Pelodiscus sinensis: one gene and its partner. The protein of the gene in region 2 interacts with the protein of the main gene of each other region in a pairwise test. Links are inferred from orthologs where the notes say so. Each region holds a gene or a part of one and is shown on either strand. Other genes may lie near its edges. The genes, in order: NFYB and DRAP1.

What was found.
Region 1: the proteins of DRAP1 (region 2) and NFYB interact in binary tests that used the Homo sapiens proteins (3 or more experiments, as listed by UniProt). The two-hybrid records come from large-scale screens. The link is inferred for Pelodiscus sinensis from reciprocal best matches to the Homo sapiens genes DRAP1 and NFYB.

The regions. Positions count from the first base shown.
Region 1 is NC_134711.1:98,179,449-98,188,665, reverse strand, and holds the start of NFYB (nuclear transcription factor Y subunit beta), read right to left. Parts: upstream 5,041-9,217; 5' UTR 4,281-5,040; intron 1-4,280. UniProt on the Homo sapiens protein: Component of the sequence-specific heterotrimeric transcription factor (NF-Y) which specifically recognizes a 5'-CCAAT-3' box motif found in the promoters of its target genes.
Region 2 is NC_134721.1:32,598,777-32,607,993, forward strand, and holds the start of DRAP1 (dr1-associated corepressor), read right to left. Parts: upstream 5,175-9,217; 5' UTR 5,053-5,174; coding exon 5,011-5,052; intron 70-5,010; coding exon 1-69. Other genes in the region: C11H11orf68 (UPF0696 protein C11orf68 homolog), read left to right, coding at 7,891-8,631. UniProt on the Homo sapiens protein: The association of the DR1/DRAP1 heterodimer with TBP results in a functional repression of both activated and basal transcription of class II genes.

The DNA of each region.
Region 1 (9,217 bases), on a different chromosome or scaffold from region 2:
TGGGAGGTCCAAGCTCCTTGCAGACAGAGGGTGCTGCAATGTAGGGGGAGGGAGGAAAGGAGGCAGGGGAAACTGCTGCAAAACAGCTGGTATGGCAGCAGCCGCTGTCTGTGGGGGTTGTCCCCAGCTCCCTGAGGACAGAGGCTGCTCAGTTCAGAACATCTCAGTATCATAAAAATTTAAATGGGATATAGGATTTACTTAGAAGGAAAGAGTAAGGAATATTTGTGGCTTGGCTCACTGACAACTACAAAAGGACATAAGCCTATGTTTTTGAGAAGTGTGAATACCGAAGAAAGAAGAAATTTAGCACAGTACAATACATAGTGCATAACTAAGAAAAACAGGAAATTAAAATGTTGCCTTAAGAACAGGGGAACTCCCCAAAAGTATGATTTGTAAAACTGGAATGATCTCCCACGGAAAGTTAAGTAGCAAGCCTTGAATGACACATTTAAAACTAAACTAGAAAAAAAAGCCCCACTAATATAGGCAATAGTCCTGCACAGGCAGAGAATGGACTAGAATGAGTTTCTTGAGCTTTCTCTATCCTCTTCAGTTGCTGCATTAATTTAACTCGAATCCTGAGGTTTCCCCTTTATCTTTATTCATTGAATTGTGAAGACCGTTAAGTCTTAGTAATATAACCACTAGGCAAGAGCTTGAATAATTTACTCCATCAATTTAAAAAAAGGAAACTGCCTTTTGCAAACACCACCTCAATGAGCATGTATGGGATGGAAAAAGAATTATTCCATCATTTCTACAGAATTGCTTTTATTAAAAATGTTTGAAGTCTTTATATGTTTGCAACCTGTGAATGGAGGCCCTGTATTCTTCCTGCATCTGAAGCATCTCTAGTCTTTTGGGGTTTGTCTACACTGCACGGCTATTTCAGGATGTAGCTACCCTGTGTCTTAACAAGCTGCCTGATATTTCAAAATATTTTTCAAAATAACAGGCGTGCTATTTTGCCATCCCGATAACACTCATTCCTCGAGGGCTAAGGGATGTCTCAAAAAGGCACAGTATTTCAAAATTTGGTACTGTAAAGATGCACCAAATTTCAAAATAAGCTATTTTTAAGTAAGATACGCAAATTGCGTATCAGAGGCAGTAAGGGCGGGAGGAGGCAGAAGCCAGTGTAGTTGGCTCCCCACAAGCCCCAGATCCTGTGAATCTGCTCCCCCGCCCCCCGGCTCTCTCAAGAGGCAGCAGCGCAGGTGTGGGCAAGTGGGAGCTGATTCGCAAGGGGAGCCAGCTGGTTCCCTGTGCATGCCTGCTCTGTGGAGCTGCCTGCTTCCCCTCAAGAGAGAGGGAGGGAACATGTAAGGACCCAGTGCTTGGGTTAGCTGGTTTAAACGCTGGCTCCCCCTGAGCACTGGCTTTGTGGAGCTGCCTCTCTCCTGCACTGCTGCCTGTGTATCAGAGGCGGAGGGGGAGGGGGGGGGAAAAGGAGAGGGGGGAGGAGCAGGATGCCAGCGCAGCCTCTGTCCGTGGTAGGTCCTTGCTCGCTGTGGACAGAGGCTGCTTCGTGGGATGGCAGAGCAGCTTCTGTTTGCAGGGAGCTCAGCGCCCCACCCCAGGCAGCTTTTGCTGTATCAGAGGCAGCAGCATAGGGGGCAGGTGGCTCGAGCACACTGGCTGCCACCCCCATCCCCGGGGACTATTGAATAATCATGTAACTGCTCAGATTTGGGGCAGTTACGTGATTATTAAATTAATCGATAGCTAACATCCCTATTCCCAATGGCTTTCAACCTATTTACCACCGTGAGCCACATTTACAGCTCTGCGTTTCATGAACTGCATCCACACAATATATATGGCTATATGGCCCTCAGAGCCACTGGTATAAGCTCACCCACCTTATTCATTAAACACGTTCTAACAGAAGCCCCTTATGTCCGTTAATTTATACACTAGCATGGTTACAGATGGAGGGGCCCTAACATAAATTTGTTGTTTTTGTTTCAACAGTGACTAAGCCAAGCAGCTTATTAGGAGAGTGATGGGGGGGTGGGGTCATCACCAGAGAGAATCATACACAGCTTCAATGATTTCTCTTGGGCATTTTGTTTTTTGGATTTTTTTTGGTAGGGAAGGCAGGAGAGGGAGAAGAGATGTGAACTGGAAAGAATCAGAGCTTATACAGGCTATTTAAAAAGGTTATACATTTCTACTGCCTTTGCAGAGACAAAGAAGCAGTGCTCAAGAGGAGGCAACAGCAGCAGGTCTCCGTCCTATTCATTCCATCAGCACAAGAATGGAGACAGTTTATTAACTGAATGACGTGAAAACATTTTATTTTAAGAACTGTCCTAGTACCTTTACTTAAAACATATTTTTCATTTTATATTGTGATCTGTTTTTTGGCTCTTCCCACATAAATTAGTTATAATTTTAAGCCAGAGCAGAGGCTATTTGTCCTTCCTTTAGATTTAAAAATATTTGTTACACTTATTAAAAAGTTTATTCACCTCAAGCAAAGACTAATTCAAGATAATTTTCAGCAAATACCAAATATGATATTCAGTTTAATTTTAACAATGGGGCTAATACATTTTAATGAACTCTAATTAGTAAATAACTTTCATCTATTTTACCTAGCACTAATCCTAAGCAGATAGACTTTCGAAATATCACAGTTACAACAGGTAATTAAAAATGAACAGTCTAAATAATGCAACCAGCTCACTGCTTAAATCATAAAAAGTTTCAGAACTCATACTAACCAATTAATTTTAAAATTAAATGAAAATTAGATTAGTAATTCTTCCTTTTAAAATCCTAATTAAAACAGTTATATTGTCTTTAATAAAGGAAAAGACTCAAACAATTTCTGTTTCATAGCCCACATCTCCTTAGAGTCCTGTTGCCAGTTGGCCATGTAGAATAACTTCCCCTATCCACAATCAGCCTCCTCTATCGCTGGCAAACAGATATAATTTATATGGCAATGACTGCCATTGATATTGAAGGGTAACACTAGGATATTTATTTTTAGCTATTTTTTAGTACAGTTAGCAGCTCAAAATGCCAGTCATCAGCACTACAATAAGCAGACAGCTCTCTCCAAACCATCGAGTGGTTGATATACCAGGTTGGGAACTAATGATTTAGGATCAGTTCATCCTGGATTTTCCTGATTACAAGTTTTCCATACAGAAGGGATAATATGTGATATAGCAGAGTTTTTCTGGCACAGCGATGAAGTGTACATGAAATTCATTCTAACAAGTTGCACATGAATCCAGTTCTTGCATGGATAACTATTCTGTGGGTAATACCCTGAGCTGCTCTTTCCATTTTGCTACTGATTCTTTTGTCAGAAAAGGTGAAGTAAGCAAGCTAGCTTTAAACAAAACAAAACCAACCACCACAACACACCATGCTACATTCTGCATCCCAATTAACTTTGAAAAGTTCATTCTGAATAAAATAAGACATTCAAGGATGAAGGGCAGCTTAATTTATCAGATCATCATATAACAGAATACCCTCACTGAATCTAGACAACCCTGCCACATAGCAAGGGCTTGCATTTAAGTGCAACTTGGCTGCAAAAGAGGGCAATAATAGAAACTTTTTAAAAAGTAGCCCTGTGGCACTTTAGAAACTAACAAAAATATACAATATCATGAGCGTTCATGGATAAAAAAATTGGTGCAGTTTTACACTTTTGGAGTGGTCTGCAAAATTTACAAGCTTGACAAGTCATATACAGTACTAGTTTTTGATGTTTTATTGGACCTTTATGGGTTTTTCCTCCAACTTATTCTCAAGGCAGTCTATAGAACTTTGCTTTTTCTCACAAACAGAAGTTAGTCCAATAAAAGATATTCCCTCACCCACCTTGTCAATTAAAAAAAATCAAATCTAGGTTAGTCAACTTTTGTTATTGGTTACTTTTGCATGGCTCTCAGATTTATCAGCCTAATAAATTTCACTACCTTCTAATGCAATTGAACAGTGTGTGCCTAAGTGATAAACACAAAAGGGAAATCTTTACATTTAAATAAGCTTTATGAAGTAAATATCATGAAAATATTGCAAGTTTTGTAAGGCACTAAATGCATCCACAGCCAAAATCCCCTAAAGTTTAAGCTCCAATGGGCTTCACAAGACACCCTTTCTTGTCTACTGATTTACATCAAGTTTCCGAAAATTACAAAAGTTTATTTTTATCAGTTTGTTCAAAAGTCTCAATTAGCACTGAAATGACTAGTTCTGGAAGGCACATCTCTAGGATTGGAAAGGCCGCTCTTCTCACCACTTACTTTCTGATCCTAAGGGTAAGGTTTGCCAGCAGACTCAAGATACCATCCTTTGGTCTATGAAGTTATGCATGTGTATAAAAATAGAGCGAGAATAAACCCGATTATTTCCTCTCTAAAATAGAAGCCACTGCCTCCCTACTGGAGAATCTGAAGCGCCTGTCCGGTTACTCAGACTCCCACCACATCCTGGGGGGAGTTAGGGCCTCACTCTAAAGCTCCTTGAAGACTTCCAAGGGATCTGGGCCGGGGAGAGGACTGCCAGGTTAGCGCCAGCGAGGAGCCGGGTTGTCCTAGCGCTGACCCCAGGCTCACGGAGATGCTGCACCAGCCTCCCAGCCACGAGTCCAGGAAGGCGGCCGAGGGGGCTCGGACACCAGCAGGGGGGAGGCGGAGGAGCCCGGGGATGGGCAGGAAAGGTCGCCCCCTCCCCCTGCCTGAAGCCCCACGGGCGGCCCCCATCCCGCAGTCCCACGCCGCGCTGCTCTAGGGCAAAGGGGCCGCGGCGTCTGATTTAAGGGGGAGGGGGGGGAATCCCCGCGCCCAACCCGCTGCGGCCAGGGAGCCCGGAGGCGACCGTGGGGGCGCAAGGGCCCTGCCCCGCGTGTGGCCGGGCGGGCGCAGCTCCCGCCGCCCGAGCCCACAAAATGGAGCCGGAGCTGGGGCCGCGGTGCCCAGCCCGGCGGGGGGGAGGGAAAGTGGGGGCGGGGGGGGGGCGCTCCGGCCCCATCTCCCCCCAGCCGCCTGTCGCTGCTCCGGCCGCACAAAGAGGCGAGCGGGCGCTGGCGGGGCCCGGGCTCCGCTCCCCACTTCCTGGTGCCCTGGGCGGCGGCGCGGCGGCGGCGCCGGGGCCCGGGGAGGGAGACGGACATTTCATTCGAGCCTGCAGTGGAACCGGTTACCAATCATTGGCCGGAGCCAGGCACAAACCTCCAGTGCGGCCCTGGTTGGCTCCCTCCGCAAATCGGCTGTTTGGTTGGACAGAAAATGGCTGCGAAGGAACCAGTCCCAGCGCGGAGCCCCGCTTCCCGCAGCCGGCCTGCCCTCCCTCCGCGCCGCCTCCCGCCCCCGCCCCGCCACTCGCGGCTCTTCCCGCCGCACGGACTCCCTCCCGCCGCCGCCGCCGCCGCCGCCTTTATACGCTGGGCCCCCAGCGAAGCTTGTGGGGTCCTCTTAGACACGCTGCCCCCCCACACACACACTCTCTCCAATAGGGGCTGGAAGTAGGGGTGCTGGCTTGCAGTGCTGTCCATTATACACAGGGCTTACAGTTTGGTTCACTGTCCGGGCCCAGAGGAAGAATTGGGGCGTCTGTTCCAAGCTAGGGATGTTACATTTCGATTTCATAACTAATGCAATAGGGATTTCCATGGACTATTCCATTAGTTGAGAAGAACTTCTGTGGTCTGCCTTTGAAATGTACAGGAACCCCAGTGGGGGGGCTCTTGTGCATTTGAAAGCAGAAGCACCCACAAGGATTCCCTGCTGGCCCTGGGGCTCCAGGTGCCAGCTTTGAAATGTACAAGAGCCTCAGGGAGACTCTTGTACATTTCCAAGTTGGCCACTGCTGCACTCCTGCCCCCTCCCATAGAGCTGGTGCGGGGGAAACCAGCTTTTAAGATGGCTCCCTCCAGCACCTCCTCTTCTCCCCCCTTGCTGCCTCTTTGTGATAGAGGCAGCAAGTAGGGGGGAAGGGATTAGTTGACTTGTGTGCTTTTGCTTATCGGATAGTCGATTAGTTGCTTACATCTATCCCAAGCCCTGCAATTTTGGGGGTCCCACAGTGGCTGCCCCAACCATCCTATGAATGGTAAGGATCTGGGGGATTACAGAGGCCTGTAGTCAGGGGTCACCCACCTACACATACACTCACCACACAGGCGACACTGGGAAGCAGGGAGCCCCAGCCCTAGGGTGCTCCACTTCCCGGTGCCACAGAGAAGCAGGGCGCAACAAGTTGAAAGAGGGCAGCACAGAGGCAGGTGGGGGGCAGAGTAGACTGCTGGGCAGCTCCAGCTTCTGCTGCCTGCATGGTGAAGGGGAGGTGAGGGCAGCATCATTTGGACAAGTAGGTTGGGGGGGAAAGACAGGGCAGGGGCAGAGCAAGGGCAGGGAGAGGCAGAGGCTGAGGTGGAGCAGGATTGTCCCAGCCCTTTCCCAAGGTAGGGGGATCAGTTATGTGGCCAGTGGCTCTCCTTACCAGTCACCCCTACTCAGCACCCTCACTATACAAATTGTTCCAGCACCACTTCTCACCTCAGACTGGGGTTGCTCTAATAGGGGATTTCAGTGGGGGCAGAGGAAGTAAACCCTATTCAGCTCTCCTTTCTCCACTATGGGGGCTTTCTGATAGCGGGTTTCATGATTAGAGGCAATAAGGTAGGTTCTATATTGTCTCTCCCTACCACCATTTATACATAGATGTGGGACGTGTTTTGCAAGTATTATTGAAACAGTCAATAATTTTACAGCACTTGGGAATGTATTTTTCCTCTTTATTTATTTTGAAGTTGTTTTATCACTTGGTATATATTGCTGTTAGGACACACTATTAACCTTGTTCTGCAGCCTTAAGACCTTTGTGTGGGTTCTGTCACCGCAATCAGGAATTTCATAAATAAATCAGTAAGCATCGCACACATTGACTCAGATACAGAGTTTCTCAAATCTTTGATACTAAAGTTAGGACCAGATTTCACTACCCGTTAAGTCAATAGTAAAACTCACTTTAACTTCAATGGGAACAGGATTGGGACTTGAGACATGTACATTATGAACAAGTCACAGCAGGAAAGCTTCAGTGAGGAAGTAGTTAGTTATAAAATGAATGATATTGAAAGAATACAGTGCTTTAAAAGACAGTCCAAACATTTTTTTACTTTGAACTTGGAAATATTTGTGGATGAAATCCTACTGTCTTTTAAAAAGTACTACACTATTCTGTTGAAATGAGCCAAAGCTTTTTCCAGAGCACAATGGGAAAAGTACAATGTTTTGTACCAGTAATACAGCATATCTCTCTCTCTCTCACACACACACACACAGAATTTAGGAAATGCCACACATTTGCCTCTGCAATTTTAATTTATTCCCATTTTGTTCATGCACTATGATACATCTTTTAATTACAAAATCACATACTGTTTTTCCATAGGAATCATGTCTCAGTCAGTGCCAGGATTAGCTTAATAAGAAGTTGTGATGTTACTGGATTTTTGATGTGAACATACAGAATATTTTTACCCCCGCAGTGTGCTCCAAATTTTGTATCAAAGCAGGTCAAGTGAGGTGTCTATTGAAAGTTTATATTTTGTGATTCTGTTTATACTATTCATATGTGTGTATGATTTTTATATGTGAAGTTATAAGTTTTGGCTATGTACTTGTATTTTAAATGTTTGCTTCTGAGAGATATTAGCAGGAGTCTCCCACCTATTGTGAAAGTGCATATAGTCAAGTGAATATGAACAATGAACCATAAATGTGGCCAATACACAACTGAGGAATTCTGCTGTAAATTTGCAGTCAAGCAGGTAGGCAGCTTGCCTAAAAAGGACACGGACAGGTGACTTGCTCTTGTGACCAGGGGTGGATTAAGGCATTGGCTAGCCGGGCAGCTGCCTGGGGCGCCAGCCTATGGGGGGCACCTGATGTCAGCTGTAAGGGACATGCAGCGCCCCTTATAGCTGCCATCAGGCGCCGCACGCCTGGCTCCTGGATCGTGGGCTGCAGCAGCTCCCAGCAGCCACCCTGCAGCGGTCGCCTGGGGCGGGGGCTGCGTTAACCCCCGCAGCGCCGGCCAGCAGCGCCCTTCTCCCGCGCCTGTGGGGCCCTGCACGGCCAGGCTCGCCCTGCCCCAGGTGGCCCCAGGCTGCACGCCAGCGGCACATGCATCCTGCCGCCGCCAGCTCTGTGCATTCTCCCCCATGTGCCGAGCAGAGGCGGGGCTGTGCATGTGCCCTCCACCCCGTGCTGATGCAGGGGTGGGGCTGCGCATGCGCCCTCCCCCAACCTGGGGCGCAATTAAACTGTCTGCCCGGGGCGCTGGAATGGCTTGGTCCAGCCCTGCATGTGACAAACTCAGTTTTGTGAAGTACCTTCACACAGCAAGAACAGTGGAATTCTCTCCACATGGGCAAGATTATAAAACCTAGAGGTTCATCCATCCACCTTTGTCTTCATTCCAGCTCAACATTTCAGAAGCATCTTTGCTATGACCAAAGGGCCCAGAACAACTGATGACCATCCTGACAAAGAATGTACTCCAGAGACTTTTGAGATAACAGTTTATTCCATCTCTGCTAAAAGCCTGAACCAGGAACTTTGTAATGGGTGTATATAAAATTTCTTTTAACAATTTTATTCTCAACTTTTTCTTTCTTTTATTAATATACCTCTAGATTTTAGATTCTAAAGGATTGGCACAGTGAAGATCTAAGGTATAAATTGACCTGGGAATGTGCCTGGTCTTTTCGGATTAGAAGAACCTGTTTGGATTTGGTGAGATTTGTTTTCATAACCTCTTATCCATGTAATGTGTGGTACTGGTTGTGTCACAGGAAAAGCTGGAGTGTCTAAGGGGATTGCTTAAGTGACTTCTTGCTGGCCAGTGTGGCAAGCAGAAGTGCTCTTTGTGACTGTGTTGGTGTGCCCTACAGTCTTGGGCTGTAAGTAGCCCTGTTTCTAAGCAATTTGCCCTGAGTTGTCCTCTCAGCTGTGTTCCCAGAAACCATTGTATTATAGAAGTTATTCAATATTTTCTTTTCTCCTTGTTGTTCAGTGACTATTGTTTTATTTACAGCACAATATTCAAACTTTGCTCTGAAAACAGAATTATTAATTTCCTCACAAACTTTTCTATGGTGCTTATTGCTATAATGTCTGATTGCTTCACACACGATAATGAATTTATTACCACAACTCTCAGCAAGGTAAGGAGG
Region 2 (9,217 bases):
AATGACGGGAACAGCAGCGGCCACCTTCCCAATCTCCTCATCTGTCTGCATGATCTTCTTGATCCGGGCCTGGGAGAGAGATGAAAGGAAACAGTTACTATCAGGGATGGGGTCTTATGAACTGCCCTCAGGGCTCCCCACTCCCATCAATACTAATGCTAAGACCATGACTGTGTGGACCAGAGAGAGCACCCCATAAAGAGAAAGGCTTTCTAGTCCCAGCCATGGCACTGACCACATCTCATCCTCTGTTCCCCTGAACCGCCCTGTCTGCTGCCCTAACAGCAAAAGGTCCCAGATTCTATTCCCTACCCCTGGAATTAGCCAGGCCCAGACCTAGGGTTGGATTTGTACAGCTCTTGTGTATTCCCAGCCATGTGCTCTAACTACTGGACTCCCCTTCCTTCCCAGAGCTGGGATAGATCCTAGGATTCCTGGCAAGCAAGCTCTCTGCTCTAACCACTAGCCCCATCCACTCCTCTCAAGTGATTTTAGATCTCCAGACACAGGTGCCATGCACCTCTTAATTCCTGCATGACGCTGCCACCCTTTCTCTAGGCCAGTGTTTCCCAATTTTATTGGGCCACAGAATCCTTTTCAGCTTGAAAGAATTTCAAGGAACTCCTAGGGTTGCCAGAGTAAAATTTGTTGAGGAAAAAAAAAAAAAGACCCTCTGTGCCCCGCCGCAAAAAGGCTCTGTCTCTTTAAGAGGGGGCGGGGAGTGCTGAGTTCTCACAGAACCCTTACTTTGATTTCTCGGAACCCCAGGGTTCTGCAGAGCACCAATTGGGAAACATTGCCCTAGGCCACCCTTCACTGAGAACAATCAGCACATGCTGTGCCCCCGGGGAACTGGTCACTCCAGCAGAGATTCCATGGGTCACTGGCTCCTTTCTTTGGTGACTAGGTCCTTTGGGACAGCCAAGGCTGAGAGGTCAACTCCTTCCTTGCTTGCCCAAGCTCCAAGGGCACTGGTAGTCTCACCGAGAGCTATTCCTGCCCGTTATGGCTCTGGAAACCCTCCCTGTGCCTAAGCAACACAGCAGCGGCCCCCGTCTCCCCTCGCAAGCTAGGGTTCAAACTCACCCACCCCTCCAGACACAAATCAACACTTTCCTCCACTGGACTGGAGCATGCTGAAACCAAAGGATGTTTGTATCCATGTCACAGGGCAATAAAATCCCCTACACCCAGCCATGGGAGCCGACAGCTTCCAGGGAACCCAGTTCCATGCCCCCACAAGGGGCAGAGCTGGAGGCAGCAAGTCCTCAGTGCCACATGCATGGTGTTGGGCCTCCAGCAGGCCTCAGTGCCTCACGGAGCAGTGTTCCAGCAGCGATTTCAAGGGCCTGGGGCTTACGTCGCTGCAGTATCAGCAGCGGTGGCTGGGAGCCCTGGGCTCCTTTGAGTCACTGGGCCCTGGGGCGATTGCCCCCTTTGCCCCTCACCCTCATGTCAGGGGGCCTGCATCCAGCTAAGGGGGCAAAGCATAAGGTGTCAGCTGTCACAACCCAGGTGTAAAATAGCGAGGATCAAAGCTAAGTCACAAGCCTTGCCTTTTCTGGCATGCCAGGTACTGCACAGACTCTGAACTGAGATTGGGAGCTCCTTTGTTGTGCCTGGCAATGCACAGATCCCAACCCAAGATTAGGGGCCCCCCGCCGTGCCAAGTTCTGCACAGAGCCTGACATGAGACTGGGGGGCTCGACTGTGCCACGTACCACACAGACTCTAACTCAACACTGTGGCCCGTATTATGTTGGGCACTGCATGGATCCTGGCCCAAATTCAGGGCCCTGGCTGCACCAAGTGCTTCACAGACTGAAAGTGAGACAGTCATTGCCCTATGAAGTCACTCTTTAAACAGAGAAAATTTTATTACAGATGGGGAAACTGAGGCACCAAGAGACATATCTTGCTCAAGGTCACAGGGAGAACATGTAGTACAGCCAGGCACTGAACCCAGATCTCCAACTTCACCTGGTGCCCCAACCACAAAGTCAGAGCTTTAGCTTTGGGAACCAAAGGGGCATAGAAGCTAGAGTCAGTGCTGCCAGCTCTCACAATCTTACTGTCAACTTCACTCTAAAATCCCCAGCTTGTGGATTCAAGAGATGCAGATAGAATCACATCTTGACCCTTAAAAGGTCCTTCTCACCCGGGATGTGAATGACTAATCGACTATCCAATAAGCAAATGTTTATCCGATAGACGACACACTAGTCGACTAGTTGCTCTCCCTCTTGCTGCTGCTATCAGAAATAGGCAGCAAGCGAGAGAGGGAAGAGGAGGGGGTGCTTCAAAGCCGCAGCGCTGCGTGGAGCCTGGGGTCAGCTGGGGACTCCCCCACTGACCTTAGGCTCCAAGTGGCGCTGAGCTTTGAAATGCCTCATGGAGCCTGAGACCAGGCTCCCTTTGGTGTTTCAAGGTGGCAGTGCTGCATGGAGCCCGGGGTCAACTGGGGACTCCAAGTCCCCAGCTGACCCCGGGCTCCAGGAGGTGCGTCCGCTTTGAAACGTCATGGGGAGTATGGGGCAAGTGGGCGACTGCTTGAGTCCCCCCCTGGCCCCGTGCTCCCTGCAACACTTTTGCCTTTGAAGTGTAGCAACAACTTTAGGGCTGTTGCTACTTCAAAGGCGGAGGTGCCCTTACTGACTAAGCAAATAGTCGATGCAAATTGCATCAGCTATTCAATTAGCCAATTAATCTAAAGTTAACATCCCTACTTCCCACCAGAGCAAAAGGCAAATAAAAAAAACCCTTGCACCTCCCAATGAGTCTCTTTTTTAAATCATGTTTTTAGGATCTGATGAAGGATTTTTAATCACTTGTGGATGGTAATGCCGATTTCAGTGATTTTGTGGTGGTGGTCAGGATGGTGAAGGTTCCCCAATTGGCATCAGGGAGCCCAACATAAGAAAGGAGGAACTGAAACTGAGAAGAGGTGAAATTGATCAGGCAGCTTTCATTTTCCATACTACCCCAACTCGGAAGATGTGACAAAGATAGAAAAGGAGGGCTTTGTGGTGCGAGCACACTGTGGTGAGAATTCCATGGGGAAAGGAGACCTATACAATCAGTAAATATATCCCCTTCTCATACAGTAGCAGTTTCTTCCTGCCATATCAATAAACAATCTTTCCCCTTTTCACTGAAGCCCTCAGGTACTACAGTAGTGTCCCAGGAGAGGCAGGTCCAGAATTAATTCATTTTATAGAAAGGAGAGCGGAGGGAAGTGTCCCTTCCACCCTGAATAGGACTGCATAGATGGAACTGGTGGGGCTAAAACCCAGGAATTTTGGCTCTTGTGCACGCTGCCTGCTCCTCCCCCCAACCCCATCCCTATTGTAACCCACTAGACCCCACTCCCCAGCCAGAACCAAGCATAGAATCCAGGAAACTTGAGTCCCCTTCATCTGAAAGACCATAATCCCACCAGACAGAATAACCTGAACCACACATTCTCCCCCATTGGCCCACCAGAGCTGTGGGTCCCAAAGGATTGGGGGGAGATTCATCATCCCTTAGGAGGGGGTGCATGAAGAGAACCTCTGAACGGGGGCCAAGTTTCATTACGGTTAAGGGGTGTGTGTGTGTGTGTGTGTGTGTGTAGAGCCCTTTTATGGTTGGGGGCCTTGACCAAAGAGGTCAGGGAGGGAAGATGAGGCTTCCTCACGAAGGGAGTTATCCTAGGATCCCTGAAGAGGTGGAAGATTCAAATGGAGGGCTACAGAGGGAAGGGGCATCCTTCTGGGGATTAGCAGTGGGCAGTATTGGAAGGAAACTCTATATGGGGTAGGGATGTGAAGGACTAGTCGACTATCCGATAAGGAAATGCTTATTGGATAGTTGACAGGATAGCGGACTAGTTGCTTCCCCCTGCCTCCCTTGCTGCCTGTATCAGATAGTTGCAGCAAGGGAGGGGAAGAAGGATGTACTTCAAAGTGGCAGCGCTGCACGGAGCCCCGGGTCAGCTGCTCCATGTGGTGCTGCTGCTGCTTTGAATGCCACAGGGAACCTGATGTGAGGCTCCTCGCAGCATTTCAAAGCGGCAGCGCTGCATGGAGCCCGGGATCATCAGGGGAGTCCTCCCACTGATCCCAGGCTTTGGTGCTTTTGCTTTTGAAGTGTAGCAAAAATGCATCGACTATCCAATTAGTCAATTGCCCAATGCTTAAATCCTTAATATGGGACAGAGGGGATCCAAATAGAGGGAAGCAGGTACATCCTTATGGGAGAGCAAGGAAGTCTTGAGTGGGGCAGGTGGGCATGCACTACAGGGAGAAGTGGATAATGAAAGTATGAGGGGCACATAAAAGAGGATGCTGCAGGAGTATCTCTATGTGAGCACTATAGAGGAAGACAATATTAGCTTGGGGTGGGTAAGGGGAGGCAGAGGCAGCGGGATGAAGACTGGGCCTGGTGGACTGGACTCCAGGGAGGAAGGAGGGAGCTAGGTCAGACAAGCCAGTGTGGACGAGGATGCAGCATTCACAGAGGCTCAGGCTGACCTAGGCTGGGTCCAGAACTTTGGAAGATCTGGAGAGGGGGGAAGGGGGTGTGAGAAGGTGGTAGGCTGAAGACAGACCGGGGTGGGGTTAGGGGGAACCCATGGAGGGAGTTAGGCTGGGCTCAGGGGAGTTAAGGGTGGAGGGCAGATAAGGGAGAAGGAGATGGGGGAGTGGCTAGGCCAGGCCCAGGGGGTTAAGCGGTATCAGAAAAGGGACTAGGTGGCCCGGGAGCTGGGTGTCAGGGTGACTAGACTGACCCGGGGGAGTTAAGGGGTATCGGAGGAAGGGGGGGCTAGGCCGGCCTGGTGCTGGGGGGGGCTTAGGGAGGATGCCGGGTGGAGCCAGGCCAACACAGAAGGTAAGGACGGCCCGAGGAGTTAAGGGGCATGGGGGGGCCGGCCGGCCCGGAGGGCGGGGTGCCGGGGGACAAGCAGGCCGGCCTGGGGACGCTACGCCGGGCCGGGGGCTAGCGGAGGCCCCGGGGCCGGCCCGCACTCACCGGCGGGAAGCGCGCGTTGTATTTCTTTTTCTTGCTCGGCATCGCGGGGCTCAGGCTCAGACTCCAGCAGCGGCAGCAGCGACCCCAGCCCGCCCCACTGCGCCCCGCCCCGCCCCTCCGGCTCCCTGCGTCTCCTGCGCCGCCCCGGCCGCCAGTGTCCTAGCGCCGCCGGAACACGCCAGCGCTCATCCATTGCCCTTCCCCCCCAAAGCACCCTACTCAGCGCAGGGCCACCCCAGCACAAACGCCACCCTGCGTCTCCCCCTCCCCGCCCCTCGCACTGGCGCCCTCTCTTCACAGCAGTTCCTGTCTCGGGCTCATCCTCCCCGCAGAACCGGGACGTGGGGCCCGCAACTCTGCTCTGTCCACCTCCTTCCCACTGGTGCCTTCCACCTGTTTTTCCGCCTCCCCCTCCCAGCACCCCCAGAGAAAGCAGGTATGCTCTCCAAGAGTCACAGTTCCCTGGGATTGCCTGCTCTACAGCTACTCCCCACTCCTGGAAGATCCCTGGTGTCCTAGGTTAGCCCCCAGTACCAGAGATGGGGGTCTGTGAAGTTCCTATGCCCTCCCCATTGCCTTATGGAGGGTCTCAGGCTACCCCCTCTCCCTAAGCCCATAGATTGAGTTATATGCAGATCACCCTCCAGGGGTTTGAGGTCTTCCTTGCACTACGGATGGCAGAGGGAGTGCTTGTGCACTAGCGTCCTTGGTTGTTTCCCCCCCTCGCAGCCATGGGCCCTCCCTTGCTACATCTGAAAGCTGGGCCAGGGAGCTCTGTAGCAACAGCCCCTGTGCCCATCCTAGAAGTGGATCTATTTCATCACCGGGTGAGGGGGCCAGGGCCCCTGTGCTCTACACCAGAGGGGACTGGACATAAGAACGGCCATACTGGGTCAGACCAAAGGTCCATCTAGCCCAGTGTCCTGTCTTCCACAGCCGCCAATGCCAGATGCCCCAGCGGGAGTGAACAGAACAGGGAGTCATCAAGTGATCCCTCTCCGGTCGTCCATTTCCAACCCCTGACCAACAGAGGCTAGAGACACCATTCCTACCCGTCCTGGACACCCATTACCCCCCAGAACACGGCTCAGGGTCACACTACGGGCCCGCCACTGGCTCGGGGAGGCCGTGCTCCACTTTCTGACAGGGGCCACCGCAACACCAGCTGCAGCTTCCTGGCAGGAGCCAGGCCCCACGAAACTTCCCACGCCCAGAGACACCGGAACGCCTGGGCTGGAGACACAGTCACCGGCCGAGGGGCGGGGCTTGAGTGGATTGGTGGCTTTTAGGCCCCTCCCACCCTCTTTCGCTCTCTAGCCCCGCCCACTCAAGCTTCAGCCTTCCCACATCCCGGCTCCGCGCGTTTCCACATCCGGGTGAGGCCGAGGCCCCGCCCCAGTGGCCGTTATCCGTCGCGTGGGCGGAGCGCAGCGCGCCGCAGGATGGGGCCGGCCGGGAGCTGAGCGCGGGAGGGGGCTGGTGAGGGTGAGCGCGGAGCGGGCGCTTGCGGAGCTGTCTCGGGGTGGGCCCCGCCCGGGGTCAGAGGCGCTAGGGGGCGTGGAGGGACCCGCGGGCGTTAGGCCCGGCCCGCGCGCAGATGGTTCCTCCCCGTGCAGCCGGGGGCATGGCCCGTCTCGTTCCCAGTTGGGGGCTGGGCAGCGGGGGGCTGGGTCCTTTCCCCGGCTCTTGGGGGCGGCGGGGAGACTCCTGGTGTCTTTCCCAGCTGTGCTTCGGGCCGGCTGCAGGGCGAGTCCCGCCCCCTTTCGGCGTTTCACATGGTCCCGTCTGCGAGATGGTTAATGAAACGAACTCCCCGAGTCGCTTCCTGAAGCCGCGTGTCCCGCTCGGTGCCCCCAGCAGCATCTCCCAGGGTAGCCGAGTCCTGATCCTCTAACCGATGTTGTGCTGTGGCAAGGGACTGGATGCTGCTCGTCTCTGTAGATGAGGGGGTGTGTAGTGAAAGCGTTGTGCTCTCGCTGTGCTATATGGGGAAGGGTCCCAGTATGGAAGCAGCTGAGTCCAGCTGGTCTAGGAGAAGTTTAAAAGACACTGTCAGGGGATCTTAAGTTTATACCCCTCGGCATAGGCGTGTTTGTGGGCTCCCTGGATCATTTAGTGTTCTCTGCTCTTTATCCACAGTGAAACCTGATTTTTCTCTAATAGGAAAGTCAAGGCAGCATCTTTGTGGGGTGCGTACAGTAGGCAGCCTGCCAAGAGCAACAGATAAATCCTCAGTTGAATTTCCATGTGGTCTTTATGTTAGCGTTGCTCATTCTCAGCCCTGATCGTTCATCTTGCGTTTGAATACCTATCCTGCATTGTGTTCACTTCTCCGGCAGCCCATGAGCAGCAGGTAAATTATTCTGGTTTGTGTATGGGAACTAATTGGGTGCCTCAATCAACAGAGGACAATGGGATGGGCTACAGGGCATAGTCCTGCATTGGGGACATGGGAGGTAATGGGGGTTCCATCCACAGTGGCCAGAGTCCTGTAGAAGACTGGAGTACTAATGGATGTAGAGCAGCAGTTCCCAACCTCTTCCAGATGGAGACCCCTTTTGACAATTCAGGAATACTTGGTGACCCAAGGCAATTCAAGAACAGGGGGAGGCGAGGGGGCAGAGCCACCTGCGAAGACACTTGGCGACCCTTTTGAAATGTAATGGCAACCCATATTTGGGTCCTGACCCATAGGTTGGGAAACACTGATGTAGAGGAATCTCTGTTATTACTGGGTAGGGTACTCAGGGATGGACACTAGCAGCTGAGTGTATCCTGGGCTCTGCTGTGGAGATTGGATTAGATGGTGCTTCATAATTTTGCTTCCCATCTCCTTGACCCTTCCATCCTAGGTTCTTCTCCTTCAGAGGCCAGTGAGTGATGTCAGACCAGGATGATGGGGATGCAGGAAAGGAAGGGGCCTTCTCGGCCGAGCACCTGGCCGCTGAGTCCATGGCAGCTGACATGGACCCCTGGCTGGTGTTTGATGCCCGAAAGACCCCCCGGGCTGAGTTTGAGGAGTGGCTGCAGACCTATCAGCCCTCACGGGTGTCTCGCTTTGGAGATCCTGAGCACCGCACTGAGCCTGTGGGCTGGATTGCCATCTATGGCCCAAATTACTGCCCAGAGTCAGGTGACGTGGTGGGGCTGCAGGAGGCTTGGGAGCGGCTTCAGATCAGTGGGCGCCATGTCACCTTCAACACTATCCGTGAGCTGGCACTCAACCACCGTGTCCTCACTGGCAAGTGGTTGATGCACCTGGACACTGGCTTCAAAGTGGACCATGCCTGGAGTGGCATCGCCCGCTCAGTGCTGGAGGGGCGCTTTGGGGTGGCCAAGGTCAGCCCCTGCTATCCTAGCTCGGACCGCAAGCATGTCATCTGCATCTACACAGATGATTTCACTGACGAGGAGAAAGTGATGGATGCGGATGCTGCCATCCGGGGAACCGGCGTCAAGTGCCTGCTCTCTTACAAGCCTGATGTCTATACCTATCTAGGCATCTACCGGGACAATCGCTGGCACCTCTGCCCCACCATCTATGAGAGCAAGTTCGACTTAGAGTGCATCCCCCGCCGCTCCCGTATCATCAACAAAGTCAGCAACACTGAGGTGACTTAGCTGGGGAGAGGGGCGCAGTCTGGCAGTTCCCCCTTTCCCCTCTCCAATATGGGCATCTGGCACCAATGCCTCCCAACTGTGCTTTGAAACTGGTTTCCTCTGGTTTGTTGGAGGTGGCCTGCACTTGATGTACATAGACGTGAGAGTCATTTGAAGGCCTCACACAGACTACAAGCCCAGCATGTAATGTTCCATGCTTCTGTAATAGTCTTCCTCTTCAAAGGGCAGAGGCTCTGCTAGAATCTGCAGCTGGCTGAGATGTCAAACAGCAGGGAGGAGCATTGGCCGCTGGGAGATGTTGTGTCTGCTGGTCATGCTTCTTAAAGATGACAGGTGACTATCTTGCAGTATTCTCGGCCACATTTGGTACACTCCAGCACAAGCAAGGCTTGTATTAACATGGTCCTCTCTCAGTTTCCCTGGAAAGACCCCTCTGCTCTTTTGAGCTGCAGTCACTCGGATAGAAGACCGTGGAAGTTGTTGCAACCAGTTGATACTGTCTCTTTATATTCCCAAAGCCCATGGGGTTTGCTGCTGTCCCTTTGGCAAGCTTAACTCCATTGTGCTACCATATAGCTGAGAGCTA